Cricetulus griseus: one gene and its partner. The protein of the gene in region 1 interacts with the protein of each later gene in a pairwise test. Links are inferred from orthologs where the notes say so. Each region holds a gene or a part of one and is shown in the gene's direction. Other genes may lie near its edges. The genes, in order: Lpxn and Hoxc9.

Evidence for each region.
Region 2: the proteins of Lpxn (region 1) and Hoxc9 interact in binary tests that used the Homo sapiens proteins (3 or more experiments, as listed by UniProt). The two-hybrid records come from large-scale screens. The link is inferred for Cricetulus griseus from reciprocal best matches to the Homo sapiens genes LPXN and HOXC9.

The regions. Positions count from the first base shown.
Region 1 is NC_048596.1:47,746,108-47,749,920, reverse strand, and holds part of Lpxn (leupaxin), read left to right. Parts: intron 1-2,741; coding exon 2,742-2,888; exon of another isoform or gene 2,889-2,899; intron 2,900-3,813. UniProt on the Homo sapiens protein: Transcriptional coactivator for androgen receptor (AR) and serum response factor (SRF). Contributes to the regulation of cell adhesion, spreading and cell migration and acts as a negative regulator in integrin-mediated cell adhesion events.
Region 2 is NC_048595.1:399,355,102-399,359,543, forward strand, and holds the start of Hoxc9 (homeobox protein Hox-C9), read left to right. Parts: upstream 1-1,610; 5' UTR 1,611-1,647; coding exon 1,648-2,185; intron 2,186-3,946; coding exon 3,947-4,191; 3' UTR 4,192-4,442. UniProt on the Homo sapiens protein: Sequence-specific transcription factor which is part of a developmental regulatory system that provides cells with specific positional identities on the anterior-posterior axis.

The DNA.
Region 1 (3,813 bases):
TGTTGTGGCTTCTCCATCAGAGAGCCCAGTCTAGCTTTATCTCAGTTTTTCTGTGCCTGTGTGTCCTAGTGTTTGTCCTTTCTTCATTCTTTAACACCCCAGATAGATCAATCCCAGAAGCTACATGGAGCAAAGCAATAACTATGTCACTTTTGTGAGATTTTATATAATTAAAGCCTTAAGTTTGGGGCCTGCACTTTCCCCTTTGCCTTTTGCCTTTGCAGTCTTCCTTCGTAGGCCTGTGTCTGCCTATTGGTAGCCTGTGTGCCTGTCTTTGTATGTGCTTGTGTGTACCAAGGTGTGCCTGGGTGCCTGCTCAGTGGACTCTGTGCCAGTCAACAAACTGAGTCTTTAGACATTACATTTCTTATCTGTAAAATATTGCAGCCTTAATATATAAGTATGTAATGTTTATAAAGACAACCACACTAACACTGTCATACCCAGAATAGCTAACAACCTTAATGGTGGCTCCTCAATGTCAAGAGATGACATTATCACAGCTAAAATTAACTGAAGTCACTTTAATGTTAATATTTTCAAATTTCTAAAATGCTAGTATTTAATATTATTGACTATATAGTGTTAAATATTCTTTAAAATATTTTATTAATTTATTATTTTGTCACCTGTCTTCTTATGCATATAAAACTCATGCTAAACACTGAATTCTGATTTGCCCAAGATGTATTTTTGTACTTGCCTTTAAGTTTTTGATGGTAAGTTCAGGAAAATCTCACAGAAATACTATCTTGACTGCTTTATTTTTTAATTAAAGTTATGACCTAAGTTGCAGGGTGTTGGTGGCTCACGCCTTTAATCCCAGAACTCGGGAGGCAGAGGCAGGCGGATCTCTGTGAGTTCGAGGCCAGCCTGGTCTCCAGAGCGAGTGCCAGGACAGCCTCCAAAGCTACACAGAGAAACCCTGTCTCGAAAAACCAAAAAAAAAAAAAAAAAAGTTATAATCTAAATTAAAATTAGTTACATGTCTCTTATTATTATATATTTGCCCTTATTTTTCTTTCTTTTTTTTTCTTGTCAGTTTATTTATTGAAGGACAGTCCGGCCTAAAGAGATTAGTCCAGTTCGGTTATTTCTGAAATGGTGTACTAAGGTCAAAACTTTGTGATATGGATGATTGAGAAAGTTCTACAGAAGATTTCTTTTGTAAAAACAAGCGATTAGATCTTCCTTATAATATTGAGAAATACTCAACCTTAATCTGGGGCATGTGGCTTAGTGGCGCATTAACATACTTTGGTAACATAATAAGTTCCTGGGTTCAGCATCGTAAAGAGGAAAAACAGTGGGGCTAAGACAGTTTTGAGCTGCTCCATGATGTCTCACCCATGTGAGACATTCCTCAAAAGGGGAGGCAGGAAGATTATGAGTTTTAGGCCAGCCTGGCTTACTTGGTAAATTTCAGGCCAAGTTGTTCTGTGGCAGCCTCTCTTAAGAACTGGACAGACCAATCCCAGTTCCCTCTAATTCCCATCCTCAAGATTGTTTTTAATTGAAATTAAAATTAATTTAAAAAACAGACAGACCAAAACCCTGTCCTCTCCTAGTATGAAATGCATGAACATGTTTGTTTTTTAATGATGTGATAAGTTCATTTTCTTTATTTGAGAATTTCAGAGATAGGCGGGTCCTTAGAAATCACACAATCTAATGCTTTGCAAGCTTATAAAAACTAACATATATTTTAAAAATTCACTGAAGTTCAAAAGAAGATACAAAATTATCTTGAATTACAATTTGAAAAATATTGTTCCATCCAGTTGCTTCATTATGTAGATGAAGAGAACATGCTGTGCTTAAGATGACTCAGACAATCTGGTGATGATGGCAATTCCAACTTACATGTTGGTGGGGCTCAGATAGCTCCCCTTGGAGCTCTGATGCTGTGATCAAGAGCCTGTTGGAGCTGCACTCTTTCTCCTGTATATGAAATGAGGACAGTGATGTCCTCTACCTAAAAGTGTAAGGACAACACTCTTCATACACTGTGATTGGTATGGGTTTATAATTTTCATTAATCATTATGATTAATGACATTATAACAAGAAGGTACTAGCAAAATGCTTGTGAAGTATATTGGCATTTTCCCAAGAAAACAGCAAATGAGGTCCAATTATTTGGATTGCTACATCTTGCTTGATTGTACAATATTTTTTTCAACTTCTTTTACTTTCTACATTCAAACTGACTAACAACAACAACAACAACAACAACAAACATTAATACTTGACAGTTTTTTTCTTGTTATATTATTGCACTAATCCTTCAGATATTAGACTAAAAAAGTCAGGATTAATGTTTTGCCTCCCTGCTGTGTGGGATGAATTGTATGAAAGAATAAAAAAAAGAATTTTGCTTCTTGGACTATTTTGAAAAACCTTATTTTTTCTAATATGAAGTACATGTGTTTTCTTCTGTGTGTGTGTGTGTGTGTGTGTGTGTGTGTTCTACCCAACTGGTTAAAAATCAATACCTAGAAGCCAAATTATAGGAAACCAGATTGTAGAGAGCCAATATAATGGAATACAACCATAGGAAATATCAAATGGACCATAATCTTCCCAGGCATATCCCAGGACATGCCACACTCCTGAAGTGTGAGGTATGGAGGGAGGTATTTGAAAATTGTTATCCAAAACAAGAAGAGAATATTTAAGAAGAAAATAACTCTGGAGACTCACAAAGTCTATATTAAGCTCCTTTTGTGTCCTGTGATATAGATGCCTTATTGGAGGAATTGGAACGCTCCACCCTCCAGGACAGTGATGAATATTCAAACCCAGTTTCTTGTCAGCCGGGTCAGCAATCCAAACAGGAGAGCAAGCTTCCCAAAACTCCAAAGACCTTGTCATCTCAGAGTCACACAAGTCCTTTGAAGGTAACATTTCATCTATTGCAGTGTTATAGACAACATTCGACTGTATTTCTGAAAATTGTTTCCCATATAAAATTATATTAAGGAGGCAACATATATTCAGGACAGAAAAAAAGTATCATTTCAACATTAAAAACAGTTGATTTTGGAAAGAGGAGACTTGAGGACATGACCATAGAGTATGCCTTTGAAACTCTCTTCTTCTGGCAGAATATTGCCTGGTTCATGCTGGCTACTGTGATGGTGCTCCCTGGCTACCAGAAGTGCCATGTTACAGTGTGACTGGAGTCATACCCAGTAAGAGCAGGGATAACCTCATCTTTTAGACTAGTCTTTTTGGGGTGACTGTACAACTGTTCCTTTGTTGGTCTTATTTTCGGCTGAATAGATTCAGGGAGTGATTGTTGAAATTCTTAGACTACAGCCATAGGATTCCTCATGTTTTCCCACACAGATAACTGCACTTGATTATCACAAAGCAGCCTCCTAGATGCCTGACTTAGGACAGATCATGGCAGTCTTCTGCTCTCACTCTCCCTGTGATTTCCCATCCCATTTGCAGTAGAAGGCACTGTGTTGGCGCTGATCTTTGTGGATGACCACATCTTTGTTTACCTGCAAGAGACCTGAGCTTTTGCTTATTTTCCCGACAGCTCATTGATTTCCTTTCATGTAATAGTTTCAATTGCTTTTGAAGTTTTATGATTAGTGTTTGCATTAATATAGCAATATGATTATGACTAACTCCAAAGGTGATTAAGAATGACTCTCCCCGATCTTGTTCAGACAAAACTTCAGTAACGTCATCCTGTCATGACAGTATTCAGAGAGATGACTATGAGGTGTAAGTGTGCAAACATGAGCTAACTCCTCCCATCTTAGGTGGTAGCAGAGGAAATATGCTGGCCACTTGGTAT
Region 2 (4,442 bases), on another chromosome or scaffold:
CTTCCTTCAGAGCTTGCATTCTAGCCTCAGCTCCTGTCTTATTTCCCTTCGCATAGACTCTGAACCTGAGACTGCTCCCTGATCTTCAGATGCCTTCTATTCTGCATGGGTGCACTATGTCTCTAGGGGTAGCACCTGTCCCTCCATCCCCACAACCAACCTCTTGGCCCCCTCTCCTATACCCATAATGAGGATATTTCAGCCTCCCCAAAGCCTTCCATTTGCTAAACCACCATGGGAGGTCTGCTGAAAGCCTAGTCTGTGCATGCAACAAACCCCAAATTCAAGGGGGAGGATAGCAGTCAACTTCTGAGGAGGGAGGGATCCAAGTTGCCTGATAATTCCTTTCAATCATACAGCCACCTCCTGAATTCTTCCATCCGACCCCAAAGAAATTGCCTTCTCCCATCCCTCCGTTGCCTTTTTCTGTTCCAAAAACAGCCTACAATTTTATTTAATGAAAGACACATTTATGAACAATCAAATGATCCTCATAAAAATTTTATTGAAGGACGTAAAAACAAGCTACTTGCCCACGACCCAGGTCGCTCTCTCGCTTTGCCTGTTCTCACCCTGGCTTTCTGCAGAACCTCCGAGTTACTTCTCTTTTTGGGGGGGAGTGGAAGTGTTACAGAGATGGACCTGGGGGTAAAGGAAGGCGAGCAGGCAGATGGGATGGGGATGCCCCACTTAAGTTGTGTAGTTCTCTCCTTCACTTCTTCAAGCTGGCAAAGAAACAGAGACAATAAATTTGAATAAAGGCTTATATATCTGTGCCAAAGCAAGAGGAGACTTGTGAAGCTGATGATAAAGGTGTGGAAGATCAGCAAGTTCTACTTCCCCCAGCCCACAGACCACCTTTCCCAAGCTTCCATACCCTAGATTTGGGGATCTAAGCTGGCCAGTGGCAGAAGAACTCTCCCCTTTCCCTCCTTCCCTCCCTCCATCCCAGTTTGTTCAGTCCCCTCCCACCCTCCCTCCCTCGCTGTTGCTGGTGCTGCTGTTCCTGAAAGAAATACATACATACACCGTATTTAAAAACGCATTTTTAAAAGCCACGTTCCGAACTGACAATCGCAGATCTCCGCTCACTCAGAGACTGCAGGAGCATCGGGGCAGACAGAGATAGATTACGTCAAGAAATAGTTCCTCCACCTACCTCGTCCGGCCTCCCCGCCCCTGTGGGGCTCCCCGAGCCCAGCTCAGCCCTGGGGGTCCAGGAACCCTGGCTTCTGGGACTGGCATTTTCACCTTTTTTTTTTTTTAATCCTCATGGTAGGGGGAGCCATCTGCTTTTGGCTGCACATGGTCAAGGGGGGGGGGTTCCCTGATGAGATATGAGTCATCCGGAGTGGGGTGTCCAGCGCCTTGGGTCCAGAGTTGCAGATCGTCAGGAAAACGCAGGTCGCGGGGATCAGCAGAGAGAAGGGGGTGGTAAAGGGGGGAAAAAAGCAAGGGGAAAAAAAGCCCCTGCGCATTGATCCGCGCCGTATTTTTGGGTAAATACGATCACGTGGGGGCTGGGGAACCAATGAGCTGCCGGGAAAAGGCTGGAAAAATAATTACCTGCCTTGATTGTTCTGTGAGCAGATAAAAAGTACATATACAGTTCATACAATAATCTTATGTATGTAAAACCCTGTTACGATGTCGGCGACGGGGCCCATCAGTAACTATTACGTGGACTCGCTCATCTCTCACGACAATGAAGACCTCCTAGCGTCCAGGTTTCCGGCCACCGGGGCTCACCCTGCCGCCGCCAGACCCAGCGGCTTGGTGCCGGACTGTAGCGATTTTCCGTCCTGTAGCTTCGCGCCCAAGCCGGCCGTGTTCAGCACGTCGTGGGCGCCCGTGCCCTCGCAGTCGTCCGTGGTCTATCACCCGTACGGCCCCCAGCCCCACCTCGGCGCCGACACGCGCTACATGCGGACTTGGCTCGAGCCGCTGTCCGGCGCCGTCTCCTTCCCCAGCTTTCCGGCCGGGGGCCGTCACTATGCCCTCAAGCCCGACGCCTACCCCGGGCGCCGCGCCGACTGCGGCCCAGGCGACGGCCGCAGCTACCCGGACTACATGTACGGCTCGCCCGGGGAGCTGCGCGACCGCGCCCCGCAGACGCTGCCCTCGCCCGAGGCGGACGCGCTGGCCGGCAGCAAGCACAAAGAGGAGAAGGCCGACCTGGACCCTAGTAAGTTGGGAGCAATTTTCATTTACAACCGGCACAGGAGGGGAGGGGAGGCCAGGCGGGGGCAGCCAGATTACAGCCCGTCCAAGCGGTGCAGGCAGCGCGGGAGAGGGGCGAGGGCGAGGGGGCGAGGACTCAATAAAAGCAAATTACCTTGGGGAGCTCTCAGGGGCAGGAAGGTCTGAGAAGGGGGCCCAAGCAGCCAGGTTGGGAGAGGGCCGGCCACAGGGACTTCTCTGCCAGAGGCTAGTTTTGAAGGAAGACCCCTGTGTCGCCCTCTTAGCTCAGGCTTTTTTGGCTCAGTGGTCACTTTCAAAAAATAAAATGCAAACAGGAACAGGGGCTGGGCTGAGGTTCACTTTGTGGTTTGAGAAGGGACAGGGCAGGATGCTTGGAGCAAAAGGAGAGAAATTATCCCTACCTCTCAGCCAGTGTGGGGGTCTTCATCCCACTAGGGTTTATAAAACAGAAGATCCACTGAGTTTTCCCTTGGGAGAAGGATCTGGGGGTACGCAGCCTAGGAACTTAGGCCAGGACTTCCAGACGTAAGTGGGAGAGAAGTAAGGTCCGAGACTCCTTAAACTTGAAAAGCCACTTTTAAGTGTCCACAGGATAGAGTTGTGAATGGGGATCAGGAATATGGAATGGGGAAGGCTCTTCAGATTAAAGAATTACACACACACACACACACACACACACACACACACACACACACACGAGAGAGAGAGAGAGAGAGAAGAGAGAGAGAGAGAGAGAGAGAGAGAGAGACAGTCCAAGTCAGGGAGTCGAGCACTCTGAGTGTTTCATAGAAGGGGGAGAGGCTGGCTAGGGTAGGTGAAGTGGTGGGGGGCAGGTGTAAGCTGCCAGGTCAAAGAGAGAGGGGAAAGAAGGGGAAACAGCAGGGGAGAGGTGCAGCCCCCCTGGGGGTGAGGAAGTGTCTAGGGATCCCCAGGAGGAGACTTCAGGAAATCTTTTCCTCTAGCTCCATAAGGGGCCAGGGCCTAATTATACCCCTCTGAAGGCTTCCCTCTCTGCCCTCAGCTACTCCCATAAACCTGAAATTGGAGGCTTGTCTCCTGCAGAGCCTGTCCTAGAGCTGACTGGAGTGGGGTTATGGGGGGGGCGGGGGGGGAGCACAACACAGTGGTGACCAACAGAGAGGCTAAGATATGGGGGAGTCTTTCTCCAAGGCCAGCAGCTCTCTGAGGAGAGGGGAAGGTTTAACCCTGATAATTCGCCTCAGCAGGGTTGAATTCTGAGCCGGAGAACACTGGAAAGAAGTGAGGGTTTAGGGACTCTCAGGGTCAGGAAAAAAAAAAAAAACTATGAAATCTCAGGACTTGGTCGTGGGCTGTGAGGCTGGGAGGGGGCAGAGGAGGAGGGAAATGGGGAGGAGAGGGACCTTGCTATAAAAATAAAAAACAAGAGAGAGAGAAGCGTTTATGGGCCTATGAAACAGTTGGGAATTTGGACTTTTTATGAGGATATTCTCGAATTACTACTCTTGAAGCTGAGGACCAGACTGTGGGGGCTTTGGTAGCTTCAAATTTACTACAGTTTTAGGTGTTGGAAACTGAACAAGGAGGGGACATGGGGAGGGGGAATATGAAAAAGAGAAAGGAGGAACATGCCTAAAGCAAAACGTGTCCAAATTCAGGTTCAGTCATTGAGTTTGGGGAGCTTGGCTAAGCATGGGGGTGGAATGACAGAGGTCCTGAGCTGGAAGGGAACTCCACTGACCCTTGCCTATGTTTGGCCCTCTAGGCAACCCCGTGGCCAACTGGATCCACGCCCGTTCCACAAGGAAGAAGCGCTGCCCCTACACCAAGTACCAGACGCTGGAACTGGAGAAGGAGTTTCTCTTCAATATGTATTTAACCAGGGACCGACGATACGAGGTGGCCCGTGTTCTCAATCTCACTGAGCGGCAGGTCAAAATCTGGTTTCAGAATCGGAGGATGAAGATGAAAAAGATGAATAAAGAGAAAACCGACAAGGAGCAATCCTAAGCCCTGCCCCAGCCTGCTGCCTCGGCACAGCCCAGGGAAACACAAAAACCCCACAAAAATGCCCCAACCCAGGCGGGAGAAAGCACGAAAAGAAAAGGAAAGAGCAAGATAGAGAAAAGCCCATCGTCTTAAAAAGAAAAACAAGGAAGGGGAAAATGCAAACTCTTGCGATGTGGGAGGGTTAAGTGTTGAGAAATTGGTGTTTAGAGTTAGTTCTATCCAGCAAGGAGGAGGCAGGAGAAACCGCGTTC